Anolis sagrei: one gene and its partners. The protein of the gene in region 1 interacts with the protein of each later gene in a pairwise test. Links are inferred from orthologs where the notes say so. Each region holds a gene or a part of one and is shown on either strand. Other genes may lie near its edges.

Region 1 (7,489 bases):
AATCCAGATTCTCTGCTTTGAACTGGATTATATGGCATTGTAGAAGGGGCCTAAGTATTCAAAGGGATCTTGTAGCACCTTAGAATCATTAAGCTTATTCTACCAACTTCATTACCTCAAACTTTAAGTTGTTACAAGATCATTTTGCATATGGCTATTCCAGACTGACATGGCTGTTTCTGAATTCCCTCATCACCATTTCCCCTCAGCCCCCTTTTGCCAAAAAGTTTTTTTCCTTGCTTCCCTTGCCCCCAAAAGCCCATTTCCCTTGTCTCCCTCCCTTTGTCTTGTTCTCTTCCAAGCACTATTTCCCTCCCACCGCTCAGGAGGTGCTTTGTTATGTTTTCCCTCCATGGCAGAAGGAAGTTGGACTGAATGGCCCCTGGGGTCTTCCATAGAAATGCTTTAGGGGGCATGCTTGTCAAGTTTCCAGATTACACCAAATTAGGAGGGATACCAAATATTGCAGAGGACAGGATCAGAATTCAAAATGACCTTAAGAGATTAGAGAGCTGGGACAAAACTAACAAAAATGAATTTTAGCAAGAATAAATGTAGAATTCTACACGTTGGCAGAAAACAATGAAATGCACTAATACAGGATGGGCTGATGCCTGGCTGAATAACAATACCAGTGAAAAAGATTTTGGAGTCTTTGGGGACAACAAGTTGAATATGTGGAAACAGTGTGATGCAGCAATTTAATAAGACAGTGGGATTTGGGGTTGCATGAAAATAAGTATCATGTCTAGATCAGGCATGAGCAAACTTGGGCCCTCTGGGTGTTTTGGACTCAACTCCAGCTGTTAGGAATTATGGGAGTTGAAATCCAAAACACCCAAAGGGGCCAAGTTTGCCTATGCCTGGTCTAGATCAAGGAAAGCAATTGTGCCCATCTATTCTGCTTTGGCCAGGCCTCACCTGACATAATGTGTCCAATTCTGGGCACCACAGCCATGTAACCTCTAGTGACGGAGCTCTCCCAAGCTATGTACTTGCTTCTTATAGATGTGCAAACCTACCCAGAGTAGGTACACATAGCTTGCACAATTAGCAGCTCTCAGCATCCTCATACACCCTGGCTTTTTGGGTGATTAGATGGTGGAAACTGTGATTAAACACATCAGGAAGACATCCGATTGGAAAGGATGGAAAAGCTGTGCTTCACAGGAAAATATGGTATTACTTAATCATGATGCTTCAGAATTGCAGTATATTTCAGATTTGCATGTGTATGGCCTTCTATCCTTTGTATAGCTGCATTAAGACATAATCAATTGGAAGGGAAGACAGGTAGCAGTTCATGACCTTTTAGAAAATCAGGTGCTAGTAGCTTGTACCGGCCTTCCAGGCCCCTTTAGCTCATAGCTGACATTTACTGTTTGCTCAAACAGCCTTCCAAAAACATCCTAGGCTGGAGTGATGTTTGCAAAACAAAAAAAATGTGTGAGAGCCAACAGGCTTACCTTCTCAGTGAGATCTCGCTGCACATTTGATATATTTGCACATTCATAACTGCTTTCTTTAAATAGGAATTTTCAGCAAAGAGGAGAAATGAAACAGTTAGGTAAACAGTTATTGTTTCTTATAACTGTTTACCAATTATAGCAGCTAGTGAGTTCATTTATATCAAGACTGGGCAACTGATGTATTTTTAACGTACACCTCACAAAACCCGAAAGTGAGGACTGTGGGCTTTTGAGGTTTGAATTTCCATAAACTTGCAATGTTTGTGGCACGTGGGCATTGTTACACCCCTCCAATTATTCCTATCATCCCCCCCCCCCCCCGCACAGATTTATAAAACACAGTATGTATATGCACCCATAACCATTGGCTCAGCCAGACTTCTAGGAATTAATAAAATCCTTTCCTGCTTTGAGTAAGTTTGATTGAAAATGTGAGATGCTTAATTTGGGCCTTAGACCACCATTGTTATAACATACATACATATATATATATATATTCTCTCTCTCTCAACACATATGAAGAGACAAACAATGATACATTCACTCTGGACAAGTCACCTCTTATGTATTCTTTGCCTATTAAACCCATGGAGTGGCTATACATTTGTGGTCATCACTTGTCATCTGCTTTCTTTGTTTCCCTCCTTAGTAGTGTGATGGTCAACATTTAATTCTCTACTTCTTTATTTTTAATGTTAACTAATTTTTAAAAAACCCAAATTCTTTCTATGTAAAGACTAACAATGCATTGCCCAATCACATAGCAATGAGCTCCCTTCTCCTCAAATAGGACACTTCTGACTAGACATGAATAAGTACACCTCTCTCACTTGAATGGGAAATCTGTGTCTGTAAAACCATTCTCCCCAAATATGGCTTTACAGTGTTTTGGACTTCAGCTCCCAGAATCCCTGATCATTGGCCAAAGCAGCCAAAATTGATGTCCAATACACTTGGGAATGCATTGTGATGGCTGTGACCTCCTGTTAACTGATCTCCTTTCAAACCTAAAAACCTGGCTGTTTAGTGTGCCTTAGAGGAATGAATACAACCTACACCATGACCAGCTCAGCACAATATTCCCTGTGATGCACTTTACCTCACCCTTCAATGATAATCACCCCATTGCTGCTCTCACCTGAACCCCCCCCCCCCCCGCCCCGCTAACTAGGCATACTACCCTACTCATCCATCTCACCCAGGGTTTTTTATATTTTAATTCTATCTTTTTAACTTGGCCCAGCCCTCTGTGCACATTATTATTTTATTTCATTTCCTGTATTTGGTTTTGTATTAATTTGCTTTGTTTATATTTCATTTGATGTTATTATTTGCTGTATGTATTTTATTTTGATTTGTTGTAATGGCTGGGCTTGGCTTCATGTTAGCCGCCCTGACTCCCCGTTGGGGAGATGGTGGCGGGGTAGAAATAAATTATTATTATTTTATAATCACACAAAATCAGTAATGCAGAAATTAGCACAGTGGCAGAGTTTTTATGCAGTAGCTCCAATTATGCACCAGTAGAAGTGTCAGTTTCTTTCTGGTGCTTACAGGTGCATCTACAGTGTAGAATGAATGCAGTTTGACACCACTGCAACTGCTATGGCTCAATGCTATGGTATCAAGAAAGTTGTAGTTTCGCAAGGTCTTTAGCGTTCTCTGCCAGAGTTGGTGTTTCACCCACTTGTAAATCCCAGAATTTCGAAACAGTTAAAGTGGTACACACTGCATGAATGAATTGATGTGTAGTGTAGGTGTACCCTAAGTTTGGCATGCCTTTTTACTAAACCCTGTTAACCTTTCCTTATGCTATCCAAAACTTACACACACACCCCACACGGGTGTTAACCCTTTCCTATGCTATCCAAAGCTTATACACACACACACACACACACACAAACATCTCAAGGATGTTAACCCTTCCTTATGCTATCCAAAGCTTATACACACACACCATAGGGGTGTTAACCCTTTCCTATGCTATCCAAAGCTACACACATACATATATATTCATACATACACGTATATAAATGCACACACAAACATCACAAGGGTGTTAACCTTTCCTTATGCTATCCAAAACTTACATACACCCACCCACAGGGGTGTTAATCCTTTCCTATGCAATCCAAAGCTTGCTTTTATACACACAGAGACATACATGCTTTTATACACACAGAGACATAAATACACACCCTCGGGGGGGGGGGAGGGGGGGAGGGGAAATCCATCCCTAGATAGATGGAAGAGTTAACACGCCTGTGGTGTTCATAGGGAAGTGTTAACACCCCTGTGGGGTTTTTTTTTTGTTGTGTGTGCGCCTGTTCAGAAGATTTCACCTCACTTTCTGTCCCTGTGATAATTGGATTTAGAAAAAAAAAGGCTTCTGAAACAAGGATCGGTGAGCAAGCTTCAGCCGAGGCCCCCTTTCCCCCCGATAACTCTTTGAGGAGTGAATTTCCCTCCCTGGGGGTAGATTTCTCTCCCTTCCTGTTGTCTCGCCCCTTATTAACGCTGAGCTGTTTGGATGTCGGATGTTTGTAACTCGGGGACTGCCTGTAGGTGTTTCAATAAACAAACACATGATTTCAAGCAGAAGCTGGTGCATAATTAGAGCTGCTGCTGTGCCAAAAATCGAACTCTGTCGCTGCACATCTTCTGCTTTACTTCCCTTTTCTGTGCGTCTTCCGTGGGAGGGGAGGAGATTGCGCACAGAGTCTGCACATGCCCAGATAGCAGGGAAATCCCGGTCGCTCCGAGGAGGAGGAGGAGGAGAGGCGCGGTCCTCTTTGCCTTGCCTTGCCTTGCTTTGCTTCCTCTGGGCGCGGCGAGGCCAGGGCTGCCAGGCGCGCGCTCTGAAGCCCCGGAGGCGTGCCGTCCTCGCGCCGCCTCCTCCTCCTCCTCGTCGTGCCTCTGGGCTCCTTTCCCTTCTGCAGCACGGAAGAGGCGAAGCAAAGCAGCAGCGGGAGCCATGTCGCTATTGTCCCTGGCCTTGCCTGCCTTCTGGCTCTACTGGACCGCGACGCGCCTCGTCCTGCACCAGATCTTGCGCCGCTTCCGCCTGGGCTGCCCTTCCAAAGCAGGTTAGGAGGCTCCCCCGGAGAGGCTGGGAGGGAGAGGCCTTGGCTTAGGAGAGGGAAGCCTCGCTGGCTTCGCTTTCTTCCCCTCCCCACGCGTCCTTCCACCGTTGGGAGCCAAAGTTGAGCATTTGCGCTCGGAGGGAGAGGACAGAGGACACTCCTCCTCGCAAATGGAGGGGATCCGCTTCCCTCTTCCTGCCTAGATCTTGTGGCAGGAGCCAGGCGAGGCCAAAGGGCTCCAAGCTCCTGCCCAAGGCTCTGGCTCCTGGTTACTGGGGGCCCTTCCACACAGCCCTATATCCCAGAATACCAAGGCAGTTCACCCTCAGATAATGTGGGATTTCCTGCCTTGATATTCTGGGATATAGGGCTGTGTGGAAGGGCCCTGGGACTCTTCAGTTGCAGTGCCTTCGCTGGCTGTTTGTAGCCACCGATTTTCAACCCTGGGATACAACCGCAACCTCTATCGGTCCCCTGAGGTTGTTGCATTTGCCAGTCTGCTGCCCCTAGCTTACACTTCAGTTGTAGCTTGGTGGACATACAGTGAATGTAGCAAAACAAAAAGTTTTCAAGCTACATCCAAGTTTCTTGTAACTGCCATGGTTATTGCTGTTTGTGTGCCTCCAAGTCATTTTTGACCAATGGAAAAACTAAGCAGATGGGAGCTTGTATTGTCGAAGGCTTTCATGGCCGGAATCACTCAGTTCTTGTGGGTTTTTTCGGGCTATATGGCCATGTTCTAGAGGCATTTCTCCTGACGTTTCGCCTGCATCTATGGCAAGCTTCCTCAGAGGTCATAGATGGGAGCTTGTTCTTGGGGATTTGCCCATGTTTTCCTCTGAGGTTAAGAGCATGTGACTTGCCTAAGGGCACCTAGTGGGTTTCCATGACTGAGGAGGGAGTTACAACCTTAGTTCAATATTCAAACAACTGCACCAGAGCTTTCCGATATTATGTTGGTGACGCACTACATGCATCGCTTTGCGACACAGTGCTTCAGTTTTACTAGCAAACCAGAGGTTAACCCAAGCATGGGCAAACTTCAGCACCAGCTGTTCTGAATTGTGGGTGTTGAAGTCCAAAACACCTGGAAGGCCGAAGTGTGCCCATGCCTGGGTTAAACCAAGAGATCGGAACACGTACATAAATTATAATAATGAAATGTATGGGGACATGACTTATCATGAAAATCTTGCTCATATATATATATGATTTATTGATTATTTCACATGGACTCACCTTTCTTGTTTCATTCACTTTACACACCTACACGCTACAGCCAACATTCCAATGTGTCACGACACACCATTTGGAAGGCTCAGCACTATACCATGCTGGGTTATCACATGCCTTCAAGCAGACTGGCTTATGGTGACCCTATTATAGGTTTTTCTTTTGCTTTGCAGGGCATTGCTTTCCTTTGAGGTTGAAAGAGTATGACTTACCTAAGGTCACCCTATAGGTTTCCATGGTTGAGCTTTGGTCTCCTGGTGTCCTGCTCTAGCATTCAAATCCTGATACTACTTTGGTTCCCTTGGGTACCTGTCTATTGAAGAGTGATCCAGTAATCTCACTAGGCCTTATTACTCTAAAGAAAATGCTATCTATGTTTGTCACTTTTTTCATGTCAGGAGCAACTTGAGAAACTCCAAGTCACTTCTGGTGTGAAAGAATTGGCTGCCTGCAAGGACGTTGCCCAGGAGACACCTGGATGTTTTGATGTTTTACCATCCTTGTGGGAGGCTTTTCTCATGTCCCCACATAGGGAGCTGGAGCTAACAGAGAGAGTTCTCCCCAGATTTGAACCTCTAACCTGTTGGTCTTCTGTCCTGCTGACACAAGGGTTTAACCCATTGTGCCACCAGGGGCTCCATGTTTGTCGCTAACCATACCTATATATAGTTGGCCCTCTATATCCATAGATTCTGCATCCGCAATTGAACCATCCACAGATTTTTTTTTAAAAAAAAAAATCCAAAAATCAAATTGTGATTTTGCTGTTGCATATAAGGGACAATATTTTAATACACGATTATATATAATGAGCTTCTATGGATTTTTGTATCCACAAGGGTTCTTGGAACGCCAGCAGATACCAAGGACCCACTGTATGCACTTTCACCTTTGACATCATTGAAAAGTCTGTCAATTGCATTCGTGGACATTGATTGTTTGATTGTGTGTGTGTGTAATAAGTTTTTAAATAGCAGGTATTAGTGACAGATTGTGGTTTCCATGCTATTAGCTTCCAAGACATTTGCCAGAAGTAAAATAGGCAAGAGTTGTAACCTGGTGAAAGATTGCTTTTTGCAAAAGCAAGGATATCACTGTACTCCTCCGCTTAATATGGAAAGCTGAAATTGAAGCTTTCCACTCCAGTGCTTTAATATTAGGTTGGGTGGAGATGGGGTGTGTGAAGAAAGAATATATGCTGTTTTCAGTCCCTTGGAGGGAATTGGAAAATAAATGTAAGACATAATCTTTTGGAGTTGGTGAGAAGTTCAAGGTAAACATCTACACTCAGTTACTAAGGAATTGGAATAGAATCAGACACTTGGTTGGAAGAAATTGTATTAATCTCATAGGAATAATAAAGAGCCAGTGTAGTAATTTGAATGCTAGAATTATGGCACTGAAGACCTGAGTTTACTCATAGAAATCTGTGGGTTGATTTTTGGTAACTCTAAAACTCAGAGATAGGCAAAAGCAGAGTCACCATAAGTTGGAAATGACTTGAAGTTACATAGGAACAACAAGGCAGTGGTTGCATTGTCTGTGTAACTGTGGTTCTGGTCAAAGTTGCACAACAAGAACAAGATAGGAAAAGCTTAACAAATAATCTAGCCTGGTCCCAATATATCAAATCCTACAGGAAACTGAATGGCTACTTAGGGACTACATGGCTACTTAGGGACCTTCTAGACAGGCTCTATATTC
Region 2 (6,936 bases), on another chromosome or scaffold:
ATTGTAAAGCTGTAAGCTTTGGGTTGTTGTAGGTTTTTTCGGGCTATATGGCCATGTTCTAGAGGCATTCTCTTCTGATGTTTTGCCTGCATCCTCAGAGGTAGAGAGGTCACAACTTCTGAGGATGCTGCCATAGATACAGGAAAAACATTAGGAGAGAATGCTTCTAGAACATGAACATATAGCCTGAAAAAACCTACAACTACCCAGTGATTCTGGCCATGAAAGCTTTCGACACTACGCTGTAAGCTTTGTTATATTTTGCCTTTTGATAAGAGTTTGTTATTAATTGCCATCAAGCTCAAAACCAAATCAATCAAAACATTTATTTCGGTCATTGACCAGCACAGGAAATAGTGTCACGTTTCCTTACAAACCTGGCATGTTTGGTACATTAAAAATATAAATACAACTACTAAAAACACAATATGGGTGAGGGAGCAGAAGGGGAAACAGGGTAAAATCATACAATGTCCAGATCCATCACCAAATTGTAGATTCAGGGAAGACGATTACTGGACACACAGTTGACTTTTGGAACTAGTCATTCCCTGGCGGATTTTGTATGCTGCTGCACAAAACTTTGCGACATTGTAGGTTGTAGCTGAATTAGTATCCGCAAGTAGCAGGGAGGTATAAAATTGTCCTGAATGGCCTGGGTGCTTGTCTATCAGGGGTAAGATAAGCCTGGCATGGGTATCCCTGTAGAACGGGCACTGAAGGAGCACATGTTCTATTGTTTCTACATGACCCGAGTCACAGGGGCAGAGTCTCTCTGGGAAAGGGATCTTCCGGTAGCGGCCTTCGAGTACAGCTGATGGGAGAGCGTGGCATCGGGCCAGGGTGAAAGCCCTCCGATGAATAGGAACCTCTAAGTATGTTAAATAGTGAGCCATCAAGCTCACTTTGACTTATGGTGACCCTATGAATGACAGGCCCCAAGATCCATGACTGTCCTGCTCAGGTCTTCCAAACTCAGCGCTATGGTCTCTTTAATAGAGTCAATCTATTTATAATGCAGTCTGTCTCTTTTCCTGTTAGCTTACACTTTACGAAACATTATTGCCTGTCCTAATGAGTCATAACTTTTGAAGATAGGCTTATGATATAACAATTTCCCCACCATGAAACTATCTGTGGTGGTGAGATTGTGTGCTTTTTTGAGGTTGCTAGTAGAGTACCTCATGTGCGCATTCAGAAGAAGACCTACAAGCCACTCTAAACACCTTTGCAGAAGCATACGAGCAGCTCAGCTTGTCATTAAACATTGAGAAAACCAAGGTGCTTTTCCAGCAGTCACCAAATGCCTCTCTAATGCCATAAATACAACTTAATCCCTCTCCAATGCCAGAAATACAACTTAATGGTGTAACATTAGAAAATGTTGACCATTTCCACTACCTTGACAGGCACCTCTCCACCAAAGTCAACACTGACACTGAAATTCAACATTTCCTGAGCTCTGCGAGTGCAGCATTTTCCCGAATGAAACAGAGAGTGTTTGAGGACTGGGACATCTGTAGGGATACCAAGGTGCTTGTTTATAAAGCTATTGTCCTCCCAACCCTGCTATATGCTAGTGAAACATGGACTGTCTACAGACGTCACATGCAACTCCTGGAACGATTCCATCAGCGCTGCCTCCGGAAAATCCTGCAAATCTCTTGGGAAGACAAGTGGACAAATGTCAGCGTGCTGAAAGAAGCAAAGACCACCAGCATTGAAGTGATGGTCCTCCGCCATCAACATCCGTTGTCCAGATGCCCGACCACCGTCTCCCAAAGCAGTTGCTCTACTCCGAACTCAAGAACGGATAAAGGAATGTTGGTGGGCAGGAAAAGAGATTTAAGGATGGGCTGAAAGCCAACCTTTAAAACTCTGGCATAGACACTAAGAACTGGGAAGCCCTGGCCCTTGAGTGCCCCTGCTGGAGGTCAGCTGTGACCAGCTGTGCTGCAGAATTTGAAGAGGCACAGATGGAGGGCGAAAGGGAGAAACGTGCGAAGAAGAAAGGGTATCAAGCCAACTTTGACTCGGACCGCCTTCCACCTGGAAACCGATGCCCTCACTGCGGGAGACGATGCAGGTCAAGAATAGGGCTCCACAGCCACCTACGGACCCACCGCCAGCACACCAATCTTGGAGGACCATCATCCACAGACTATGAGGGATTGCCTAAGTAGAATCATAGAATCCTAGAGTTGGAAGAGACCTTACGGGCCATCCAGTCCAACCCCCTGCAAAGAAGCAGGAATATTGCATTCAAAGCACCTCTGACAGATGGCCATCCAGCCTCTGTTTAAAAGCTTCCAAAGAAGGAGCCTCCACCACACTCCGGGGCAGAGAGTTCCACCGCTGAACGGCTCTCACAGTCAGTCTCACAAGTTCTTCCTAATGTTCAGATGGAATCTCCTCTCTTGTAGTTTGAAGCCATTGTTCCCCGTCCTAGTCTCCAAGGAAGCAGAAAACAAGCTTGCTCCCTCCTCCCTGTGACTTCCTCTCACATATTTATACATGGTAAGTAAGTGTACCTCATGTTACACAGCTGAGAGGTCAGACTACATATGCCAATGAGCTATTAGAATGCAGCAGTAGTGGGGAGTGACACTAGTGGAGGACTCTCTCAAGGCACACAAGAACAAACCATGTCCCCGGCCATAAAGCTGTGTGTTCTGTGCCTTCAAGCTCGCGCAAACGAGCTTGTCCGTATTTCCTCAGTGGTTTCCCCTTCTGTCCCAGGGATGTTCAAACTGCGCATGCTCAGACAGAGCTGAGGGGCTTCTCTCGCCGCGCCTCCCTTTGGGCCTTCTGGCGGCTCCTGAAGGGAGAAACGCCGCCCCGCCGCGGGAAACGGGGCGGCGAGGCAGAGAGCTAGGCTTTTAGGTATCCTCACCGTGGGGTCTCGAAACGTCGAGCCTGGCAGGATGGGAAGCCCTTGCACCGGCTGGGAACTCATGGCGGCGGGCAGCCGGCAGCGGAGGGACTGTCGCGCGGCGGCTGCGGGTTGCCATGTCCACGCGCTCCCCCCGTTTCCTTGGTAACGATACACATCCTGAGTGCGCATGCGCCCTCCCTTAGACTAGACAGCGCGCGCCTCGCCAGTTTTCCTGTCTCGCCGCCAACACTTCCTGCAACCACCCGGAAGCTCCATTTGCTTAAGCAATTTCTGCTATATTCAAAGGTCCCTTCTAGGTGAATAAAATCCCACATTATCTGCTTTGAACTGGGACATATGGCAGTGTGGACTCAATCCACTTCAAGGCAGATATTGAGGGATTTTCTGCCTTGATATTCTGGGGCCCTTTCCACACAGCTGAATAAAATAATAATAATAATAATAATAATAATAATAATAATATTTATTTGTACCCCGCTACCATCTCCCCAAGGGACTCGGTGCGGCTTACATGAGGCCAAGCCCGAATACAACAGTACAAGCAAAACAACAATACAAGCAATTAAAACAAAACATAGACAATAAAATATACAACATTATCAATAAGACAACACACAAATCCCACATTATCTGTGTAGAACTGGGATATATGGCAATGTAGGGCTTGACAAATGCAAGGCTGGGGTCAAATTGCTGGAAGAGACATTAACAACCTTAGATATGCAGATGACACCACTTTGATGGCCGAAAGTGAGGAGGAGCTGGGGAGCCTTCTAACCAAGGTGAAAGAAGAAAGTGCAAAAGCTGGGTTGCAGTTAAACATTAAAAAAAAAAAACAAGATTATGGCAACAAGAATGATTGACAACTGGGAAATAGAGGGGGGAAACATAGAGTCAGTGACAGAGTTTATATTTCTAGATGCAAAGATTACTGCAAATGCAGACTGCAGCCAGGAAATCAGGAGACACTTCTTGGGAGGAGAGCAATGTCCAATCTCGATAAAATAGTGAAGAGTAGAGACATCAGACTGGCAACAAAGATCCGCCTAGTCAAAGCCATGGTATTCCCTGTAGTAACCTACGGATGTGAGAGCTGGACCTTAGGGAAGGCTGAGCGAAGGAAGATAGATGCTTTTGAACTGTGGTGTTGGAGGAAAGTGCTGAGAGTGCCTTGGACCACGAGAAGATCCAACCAGTCCATACTCCAGGAAATAGAGCCCGACTGCTCATTGGAGGGAAGGATAATGATCCCATAGCACTTTGTCCTCCAAAGCACTTTACATTTCCCCGAGTCTGCTTGTATGCCCCCACAAACACCAGTCTCACCTTTCGTTCATTGCCCAGCATTATTTCCAATTTTAACTCTACATTTGGCCTTCCCACTGTTTTAATTATGTGCTGCTTTTTTGATAATGTTGTGTATTTTATTGTCTATGTTTTTAATTGCTTGTATTGATGTTTTATTGCTTGTATTATTGTGTTTGGGCTTGGCCTCATGTAAGCCGCACCGAGTCCCTTGGGGAGATGCTAGCAGGGTACAAATAAAGTTAATAAATAATAAATAAATACTAGTAGAGGCAAAGATGAAGTACTTTGGCCACATCATGAGGAGACAGGAAAGCTTAGAGAAGACAATGATGCTGGGGGAAATGGAAGGAAAAAGGAAGAGGGGCCGACCAAGGGCAAGATGGATGGATGGCATCCTTGAAGTAACTAGATTGACCTTGAAGGAGCTGGAGTGGTGACGGCCCACAGGGAGCTCTGGCGTGAGCTGGTCCAGGAGGTCATGAAGAGTCTGAAATGACTGAACGAATGAACAACAACAATATGGCAGTGTGGACTCAGATAATCCAATTCAAAGTAGATATTGTAGGTTACTCTGCCTTGACATTCTGGGATATAGGGCTATGTGGATAACCCAGGGCCTTTCCACACAGTCCTATAACACAGAATGTCAAGGCAGAAAATCCCACAATATCTGCTTTGAACTGGGGGCCCTTCCACACAGCCCTATATCTCAGAATATCAAGGCAGAAAAACCCACATTATCTGAGTGTGGACTCAGAAAACCCAGTTCAAAGCAGATATTGTGGGATTTTCTGTCTTGATATCCTGGGATATAGGGCTGTGTGGAAGGGCCCTGGGTTGTCTGCTATATAACCCAGTTCAATGTGGATGTTATACAGCTGTGTGGGAGGACCTCCAGTTTGGCATAGCTACAGTTAAAAGAGCAGCTAACCTTAAAGATACAGATTCACCAATTGGCTACTCTTTCGAAAGGCGGGAGCGTTTCCGATTTGTGGCACGCCATTGGCCGGCAGTCCCGTTGCCTAGACCAATGGGGGGGCGGCGACGTTCGAGGCGGCGCCTGGGCTCCTCCCTTGGCGGGAAAAAGTCTCGGGTTTTCGCGCCAAGGGCCTTGGAGGAGCTGAGCACAAGTGACTTCTCGCCCAAGGAAAGAATAATCGTTTCCTGTCGCCATGGCTCTCCCCACGGCAGCCACGCTGGATGACGCGGAGCTGCGAGAGGCTCAACGAGACTACCTGGATTTCTTGGACGACGAGGTGAGCGCAGAGAAAAAGGCGGGAAAGGAAGCCTCCCAGCGCCATGTAGAGAGCAGTCCTTTCCGGCAAAGGAGGAGGGCGTTTGGCGCGACCGAGGCATTGATGCAGCCTTCCTCAGGCTTCCTTTACCCATTTCTAATACTGCAAGCTTCATCGTCATTACTTTGTAGTCGAGCCACCCATAGGGAGACTGGGGGCCCTTCTACACAGCCCTATAACCCAGAATTTCAAGGCAGAAAATCCCACAATATCTGCTTTGAACTGGGTTATTTGAGTCCACGCTGCCATCTATTCCAGTTCAAAGCAGATAATGTGGGATTTTATTCAGCTGTGTGGAAGGGGCCATATAAAATTCAGATTATTTACTTTGAACTGGCAGTGTAGAGTCTTGATTCCAATTCAAAGCACGTAATGTGGATTATGTATTTTGATAATCTGGGTTATAAGGCAATGTCGAAGGGGCCTGAAATGCACTCGATGGAGGGTGGTTTCTAATGTTTTGAGAATTTGATTGGATTTTGCTGTGTTACTTATTATATTGGTTTTGCATTTTATGTTTTGGTTTTGTTATGCTTTTGTGTTATATTGTGTTTACTATACTGATGGCGCAGTGGGTTAAAGCACTGAGCTGCTGAGCTTGTTGACCAAAAGGTCGCAGGTTCGATTCCAGGGAGCGGCGTGAGCTTCCGCTGTCAGCCCTAGCTTCTGCCAACCTAGCAGTTCGAAAACATGCAAATGTGAGTAGATCAATAGGTACCGCTCCGGTGGGAAGGTAACGGCGCTCCATGCAGTCATGCCGGCCACATGACCTTGGAGGTGTCTACGGACAACGCTGGCTCTTCGGCTTAGAAATGGAGATGAGCACCACACCCCAGAGTCAGACATGACTGGACTTAATGTCAGGGGACTATCTTTACCTTTACCTATACTGATGGGCGTGGCCTCATGTAATTTATTTATTTATTATTTAGCAACAATTTTGTATACCGGTCTTCTCCCCTCCATCGGGGGACTCGGGCCGGTTTCCAACAGTAATATCACAAAACAAAAGTTAAAAACATCATATAACATATTCACATTAAAACGTTAAAACAGCAAAATGCAATCACATAATAACAATGGTCAGTCGTCATAATAAATTTGTTGTTCGTCATTCGTCGTCATCCAACCAAACGCAGAAATATTGATTGACTAGTCAAAAGCCAAATTCCATAGCCAGGTTTTCACCCGTTTTCTGAACGTCAGAATGGAGGGAGCAGTCCTAATCTCCAGTGGGAGAGAGTTCCAGAGTTGAGGGGCCACCACCGAGAAGGCCCTGTCCCTCGTCCCCACCAGACGCGCTTGTGCGGCCAGTGGGACCGAGAGCAGGGCCCCTCCAGACGATCTTAACAACCTAGATGGTTCATAGGGGAGAATACGTTCGGACAGGTAAGCCTCACCGAGTCCCCCTGGGGGAGATGGAGCGGGGTATAAATA
Region 3 (7,356 bases), about 78 Mb from region 1:
CCATGGCTTTGACTAGGCGGATCTTTGCTATATCCCAGGATCTGATCCCAGGTTTTCTGCTTTAAACTGGATATCAGTCTCCGCTGCCAGATAATCTGGGATAAACAGAAAACCTGGGATCAGATACTGAGATATACGGGCTGTCTGGAAGGGCCCCTACACAAATCTGCTGACAAATCCTGCGGTGTTTACGGTACACTCTGCAGAAATTGCTTCAGATGAACATCATAAGACGAAAAAGCAGCCCATTTAGCAAGCCTTGCAAATACCGATTATCAGTATATGTCTAGTTTTTGTACCTATTTTATACAAAAACTATATAATATATATAATAAAAGCTATATTGTATTTCCTATTCTACTGCACTTTGGGGGGGAAGCCTTTTTTTTTGTTTTGTACATGTTTTTCTTAATAAAGTTTTGTAGTTAGTACTACTGGACTCTGGTGTGGTGCTGGGTGAAAAGGTGTCTTAAGGCTAGAGTGCAACAGTGAGGATTGTATACATAAAATGCAAACTTTGTTTAGAAAGTACAATATACACACCCAAATATGTAAACCTGTATGCATGTAATGTATTAGACCTTGAAGATAACATTCACTCAGACTATATATATTTTAGTCAATGTGTAAATACAAACTTGAAAAGCTCTCAAAACTGGGCTCCAGGTGCTACCTGAAAAAAAGTTTCACCCTGTAATATTTATTTTATTTATTTACGGCATTTCTACCCTGCCTTTCTCTACCCTGGCGGGGACTCAAGGCAGCTGACATATAGGCAACCATACGAAGCCATAGGATATGTACAATTATAGACTTTTAAATTAAGTTATAAAATACATTAAAACACTTGTAAAAACATATAAAACAAGAGAAGGAATGAAGGAGAGAAAGAAAGAAGAAAAGAGGGAGGGAAAGAAAAGGTAGGAAAGGAAGGGAAGAGAAGGAAGGAGAGAGAGAAAGAAAGAAGAAAAGAAAAAGAGGGAGGGGAAGAAAAGGTGGGGAAGGAAGGGAAAAGAAGGAAGGAGATAATGAAAGGAGAGGAAGGGAAAGAAAAAAGTGGGGAAGGAAGAGGAAAGAAAGAAGAGAAAGAGGGTGGGAAAGAAAAGGTGGGAAAGGAAGGGAAGAGAAGGAAGGAAGGAGAAAAAGAAAAGAAAGAGGGAGGGAAAGAAGAGGTAGGGAAGGGAAGAGAAGGAAGGAGATAATGAAACAAGAGGAAGGGAAAGAAAAGGTGGGGAAGGAAGAGAAGGAGAGAAAGAAAGAAGAGAAAGAGGAGGGAGGGAAAGAAAAGGTGGGAAAGGAAGGGAAGGGAGGAAGGAGAGAAAGAAAAAGAAAGAAAGAAAAGAAAGAGGGAGGGAGGGAAGGAAGGGAAGGAAGGAGATAATGAAAGAAGAGGAAGAGAAAGAAAGGGTGGGGAAGGAAGAGGAGAGAAAGAAAGAAGAGAAAGAGGGGGGAAAGAAAATGTGGGGAAGGAAGGGAAGAGAAGGAAGGGAGGAGAGAATGAAAGAAGAGGAAGGGAAAGAAAAGGTGGGGAAGGAAGAGAAGGAGAGAAAGAAGAGAAAGAGGGAGGAAGGGAAAGAAAAGATGAGGAAGGAAGGGAAGAGAAGGAAGGAGATAATGAAAGAAGAGGAAGACGAAGGGAAAGAAAAGGTGGGGAAGGAAGGGAAGAGAAGGAAGGAAGGAGATAATGAAAAAAGAGGAAGGGGAAGAAAAGGTGGGGAAGGAAGAGGAGAGAAAGAAAGAAGAGAAAGAGCATGGGAAAGAAAAGGTGGGGAAGGAAGGGGAGAGAGGGAAGGAAGGAGAGAAAGAAAGAAAGAACGAAAAGAAAGACGGAGGGAAAGAAGAGGTAGGGAAGGAAAGGAAGAAAAGGAAGGAGAATGAAACAAGAGGAAGGGAAAGAAAATGTGGGGAAGGAAGAGAAGGAGAGAAAGAAAGAAGAGAAAGAGGAGGGAGGGAAAGAAAAGGTGGGAAAGGAAGGGAAGGGAGGAAGGAGAGAAAGAAAAAGAAAGAAAGAAAAGAAAGAGGGAAGGACGGACGGAAAGAAGAGGGAGGGAAGGAAGGGAAGAAAGGAAGGAGATAATGAAAGAAGAGGAAGGGAAAGAAAGGGTGGGGAAGGAAGAGGAGAGAAAGAAAGAAAGAGGGAGGGGAGAAAGAAAGAAGAGGGTGGGGAAGGAAGGGAAGAGAAGGAAATAATGAAAAAAGAGGAAGGGAAAGAAAAGGTTGGGAAGGAAGAGGAGAGAAAGAAAGAAGAGAAAGAGGGAGGGAAAGAAAAGGCGAGGAAGGAAGGGGAGAGAGGGAAGGAAGGAGAGAAAGAATGAACGAAAAGAAAGAGGGAGGGAAAGAAGAGGCAGGGAAGGGAAGAGAAGGAAGGAGAGAAAGAAAAAAGAGAAAGAGGGAGGGAAGGTTTGCCACAGCAACGCATGGCAGGTACAGCTAGTGTAATATAAAATATATAATTATAATATCATATTATTAGTAGTAGTAGGATTATATTGTATTGCATTCCAATATTATGAATATTATATCTATATCTATGGCAGACATCCTCAGAGGCCCTCAGGCGAAACGTCAGGAGAGAATGCTTCTAGAACTGGGCCACATCAGCCCGAAAGACCTACAACAACCCAGTTTAAGTGGGGTTCTTCCGGTCGCCTGGTGTTCTTCCGGTCCCCGCGAGGGCAGCGCCATCTCGCCGGCCTCTTCCTCCTCTTTACTGCGCATGCGTCAGTCTGGCTGGTGGGCACGCGCCTCTAGCTGAGCGCGAGCCTCCTTAGGCTTCGGGTTTGTGGCGCGCGGCGTGCTCTTACCCGGAACACAAGCGCGACGGCGGCCTTTCCTTGCTGGTCAGCCTCTGAGCCTCGGGGCGAGTCAGGCGGAGCCTCGGAGGCCTGCCCTCCTGGCCATGGCTGAAGAGCGGCAACAGCTGGCTCTCCCTTCGGTGAATTGAGACGGAGGAAACCCCGGGAAGGAGAACCAGCTTCTCCAGAGCCAATCCGTGGAGGGAAAAAGCGCCCTCTGGTGTTGCCTAGGAGACAACCCCATCTGACATGTATCTGCTACACCACGCATGGGCAAACTGCCTTGATTCTTGCAGGTCTGGGCAAACTTCAGCCCTCCTGGTGTTTTGGACTTCAACTCCCACAATTCCTAGCAGCCAGTAGGCTGGGATGTTGTAGGTTTTTTTCGGGCTATATAGCCATGTTCTAGAGCAGTGTTTCTCAACCTGGGAGTCGGGACCCCTATGGGGGTCGCAAGGGGGTGCCAGAGGGGTCACCAAAGACCATCAGAAAACATAGTATTATCTGTTGGTCATGGGGGTTCTGTGTGGAAAGTTTGGTCCAATTCTATCTGAGAGGTTCAGAATGCAATTTCATTGTGGGTGAACTATAAATCCCAACAACTACAACTCCCAAATGGCAAGGTCTATTTTCTCCAAACTCTACCAGTGTTCACATTTGGGCATATTGAGTATTTCTGCCAAGTTTGATCCAGATCCATCATTGCTTGAGTCTACAGTCTGGATATAGGTGAACAACAACTCCAAAAACTCAAGGTCAATGTCCACCAGACCTTCCCAGTATTTTCTCTTGGTCATGGGAATTCTGTGTGCCACGTTTGATTCAATTCCATCATTGGTGGAGTTCAAAAAGCTCTTTGATTGTAGGTGAACTATAAATCCCAGCAACTCCAGCACTACCAAATGACAAAATCAATCACCCTTAACCCCACCAGTATTCAATTTTGGGCGTATCAGGTATTTGTGCCAAATTAAGTCCAGTTACTGAAAATACATTCATAACAGTAGCAAAATGACAGTAATGAAGTAGCAATGAAAAGAATGTTATGTTTGGGGGTCACCACAACATGAGGACCTGTACTAAGGGGTCGCGGCATTAGGAAGGTTGAGAACTACTGTTCTAGAGGCATTCTCTCCTGACGTTTTGCCTGCATCTATGGCAAGCATCCTCAGAGGTAGTGAGGTCTGTTGGAACTAGGAAAAGGGTTTATATATCTGTGGAATGACCTGAGTGGGACAAAGAAATCTTGTCTGTTGGAGCTAGATGTGAATGTTTCAACTGACCACCTTGATTAGCATTTGATGGCTGTTCCTGGGGCAGTCTTTTGCTGAGAGGTGATTAGATGTCCCTGATTGTACAGACCCACCAAGAAAATCCAACAAATGCTACGTTCAGCAAAGGACAAGAGGGATCCTCTCACTTCTGCAGGAGTCTACCTTATACTATAATATAAAAATGTGTTCCTGAATGAAATGCATACAACAAAAATACCACTTGTATAACATAAACAATAATATAATTCAACAACAGTATATAAACATGCTGCACTGTTAACCTCACAGCGACAACAAACAATATAGTGCAAATTTTTAGTAAAGTCGTATTTTCTTGTAAGTAGCTTGTGGATCAGCCATCCACGACCGGTTTCGGCCTACCTCAGGCCTTCCTCTGGTGGACTGAAATTAATGTACAAATCAATATTTTACTCCAGTAGCATACATATAGAAAATCTGTATCATTAAATATCATGAGTTACAACACACTTAAGTACTTAGAAAGTTATACACTTGAACAAATTCTCCTCAGGGGATACAGATATTTTTGAGTCAGTGGTATCTACATCAAAGGAACGAAATGTGGCTATGAGAGTTTGAAAATTACTATGTTTAAAATGATTATATTGTAGAAATACTTAATATTCAAGTATTTTACATATTAAGAAATTAGTAAAGTCTTCACACTTGTTATTACATCAATATTTGTTGAACATATCCATTAAATACCATAAGTTACAACACATTTGAGTACTTACAAAATTATATACTTGAGAGTTTGTTCTCTTCAGGAGATACAGATTTTTTTAGCTCAGTAGTATCTACATAAAAGGAACGAAATGTGGCTATGAAAGTTTGAAAATTACTATGTTAAAAATGATTATTTTGTAGTCTACTGTATACCATGCAGCTGTGGACAAGTCTACATAAGGACCACCAAACGCAGCTTTGCCCAAACACCAATCAAGGAACATGAAAGGCACTGCAGACTACTTCAACCAGAGAAGTCAGCCATAGCAGAGCACCTGATGAACCAACCTGGACACAGCATGTTATTTGAGAACACAGAAATGCTGGACCACTCTCACAACCATCATGCCAGACTACACAGAGAAGCCATCAAAATCCACAAGCATGTGGACAATTTCAACAGAAAGGAGGAAACCATAAAAATGAACAAAATCTGGCTACCCATATTAAAAAACCTCTAAAATTACAACAGCAAAACAGAGGTGAAACATTCACACCTAGCTCCAACAGACAAGAGTTCTTTGCCCCACCCTAGTCATTCCACAGATATATAAAACCACTTTCCTAGTTCCCATAGATCTCACTACCTCTGAGGATGCTTGCCATAGATGCAGGTGAAACGTCAGGAGAGAATGCCTCTAGAACATGGCCATATATCCCGAAAAAAACTACAACAACCCAGTACTCAATAGCAGACTGGCAGCCAATGGAGCTTTAAACAGTAAAAAAAACAAAAAACAGTATTAATAGCCGTAACATCATTCCAGTCAATTCCATATTCAATTCCATGTCAAAGTGCTATCTATGTCTGTTGTCCAAAAGCCTGATCCCAGAACCACGACTTCAATTTCTTCCTAAATGACAGGAGGGACGGAGCCAATCTTACTTCAGTGGGAAGCAAGTACCACAGGTGGGGGCCACAGCCGAGAAGGCCCTGTCTCTTGTCCCTATGTACTATGATAATAATATATTGTATTTACTTTTTACTTGTAAACTGCTTTGAGTCCCCTTCAGGGTGAGAAGGGCGGCATATAAATGTCATAAATAAATAAATATTTACTTATCAGTGTGGGGAAAAAAACCAAAGTGCTTTGGTCTCCAAGCATTTCAGATACTCAACCTGTATTTTGCAGGATGGTACGGTGCATATTACTGAGAGGAAAATTGAGTGTAAAAGCATTTAGAAATGGCACTACTTATAGACCCACCTCTCACAACCAGCTCAGGATTGAACTTCATTCCTGCGAAGGGGTAGAACCAGCTTCTCAGAGGTTGCACCAAGGGCATATAGTCCTGCTTGGGCTAAGATTTCTAAAATTGGGGATATGAGGGAAGCATATGGTCTGCCTGTGCTGTAAGCAGACATTGCTTTGCATGTGTGAAGCCTTCCTGCTGATTTTCCCCTGTTAAGCTTTTGAACGGTACTGAGATCCTGCCAAAGCAACAGAGGTAGATGCAATTAACCAGAGTTAGGAGTTGTTTTATTAATGAAGGGCTAAGCTAACTTTGACAGAATATGCATAAGAGAGAGTTCAACAGCTTTATCTCATAACATCCCTTCTTTCATCCAACTGCTTTGAGGGACAGAAGCCATCTCTTTATTACAGAGCAACTCAACTTTGTAGATGCCAGATCTCATCTGATTCATGAAAGATTAAAATGCCTTTGTTCAGAGGCTGCACTTGACAATCATTTGCAAAGCAAACACACCACCGACCTATTTAGGAGTCTTCTAAAAACTTTCTAAGGACACATTACTATCTGATGGGTTCTTTGCCACTTTCCTTGGCATGAGTTGATTGGTTACAGTTTGCTCAATAATAGGGGTGTGCAATCTTTGTTTTTAAATTGTAAGTCATATGTAATTAATAGATTTTGTATATATGAACAGATATTAAGGATGCTTGCCATAGATGCAGGCAAAACGTCAGGAGAGAATGCCTCTAGGCCATGGCCATATAGCCTGAAAAAACCTACAACAACACAGATATTAAGAAACAGGGCTCCCATGCAAAAACTTCAGAATCAAAACTCACCCAATTTCATTTGAATTTTGTAATGCATGGAAGTCAGACTCATTTTTAGCACAAGCAAAATGTCAAAACTTTTTTTAAAATCCCCAAAATCAGTAGATGTGTGAATATTTCTGAAACTTGAGGGGATAATCTGTTATCTTGTGTCATTGTATAGAAAATTCAAGGAGATAGCTCTTGTAGTTTTTTTAAAAAAATCTTTGTAAAAACATTGGAAATTCCTTGAAAATCCATGGATGAGTGAAACATTCTGAAACTTGATGGGCTAACAGTGGTAAATGTGTCCTTTAATCATAGCAAGTTTTGTGCAAATAACTCTAACAATGAGGGATACAGGATTTCCCCATTGGCACAATTACTTAACGAAAAAGGAGTTAACTCATCAAAGTTACGATACGGACCCTGTCCAGTTTCGTCAACACTTTAGAAACAATTTTCCTTCACTGCCTAATTTTGCAATGAGTATTGAAACTTTTTTGCTGTTGATTGCACAGGCCTACCAAA

The links.
Region 2: the proteins of ZBED1 (region 1) and EFHC1 interact in binary tests that used the Homo sapiens proteins (3 or more experiments, as listed by UniProt). The two-hybrid records come from large-scale screens. The link is inferred for Anolis sagrei from reciprocal best matches to the Homo sapiens genes ZBED1 and EFHC1.
Region 3: the proteins of ZBED1 (region 1) and LRRC20 interact in binary tests that used the Homo sapiens proteins (3 or more experiments, as listed by UniProt). The two-hybrid records come from large-scale screens. The link is inferred for Anolis sagrei from reciprocal best matches to the Homo sapiens genes ZBED1 and LRRC20.

The regions. Positions count from the first base shown.
Region 1 is NC_090023.1:98,069,391-98,076,879, forward strand, and holds the start of ZBED1 (E3 SUMO-protein ligase ZBED1), read left to right. Parts: upstream 1-4,474; 5' UTR 4,475-4,555; intron 4,556-7,489.
Region 2 is NC_090021.1:150,390,651-150,397,586, forward strand, and holds the start of EFHC1 (EF-hand domain-containing protein 1), read right to left. Parts: upstream 3,038-6,936; 5' UTR 2,957-3,037; coding exon 2,894-2,956; intron 1-2,893. UniProt on the Homo sapiens protein: Microtubule inner protein (MIP) part of the dynein-decorated doublet microtubules (DMTs) in cilia axoneme, which is required for motile cilia beating.
Region 3 is NC_090023.1:175,650,707-175,658,062, reverse strand, and holds the start of LRRC20 (leucine-rich repeat-containing protein 20), read right to left. Parts: upstream 3,001-7,356; 5' UTR 2,805-3,000; intron 2,712-2,804; exon of another isoform or gene 2,616-2,711; intron 1-2,615.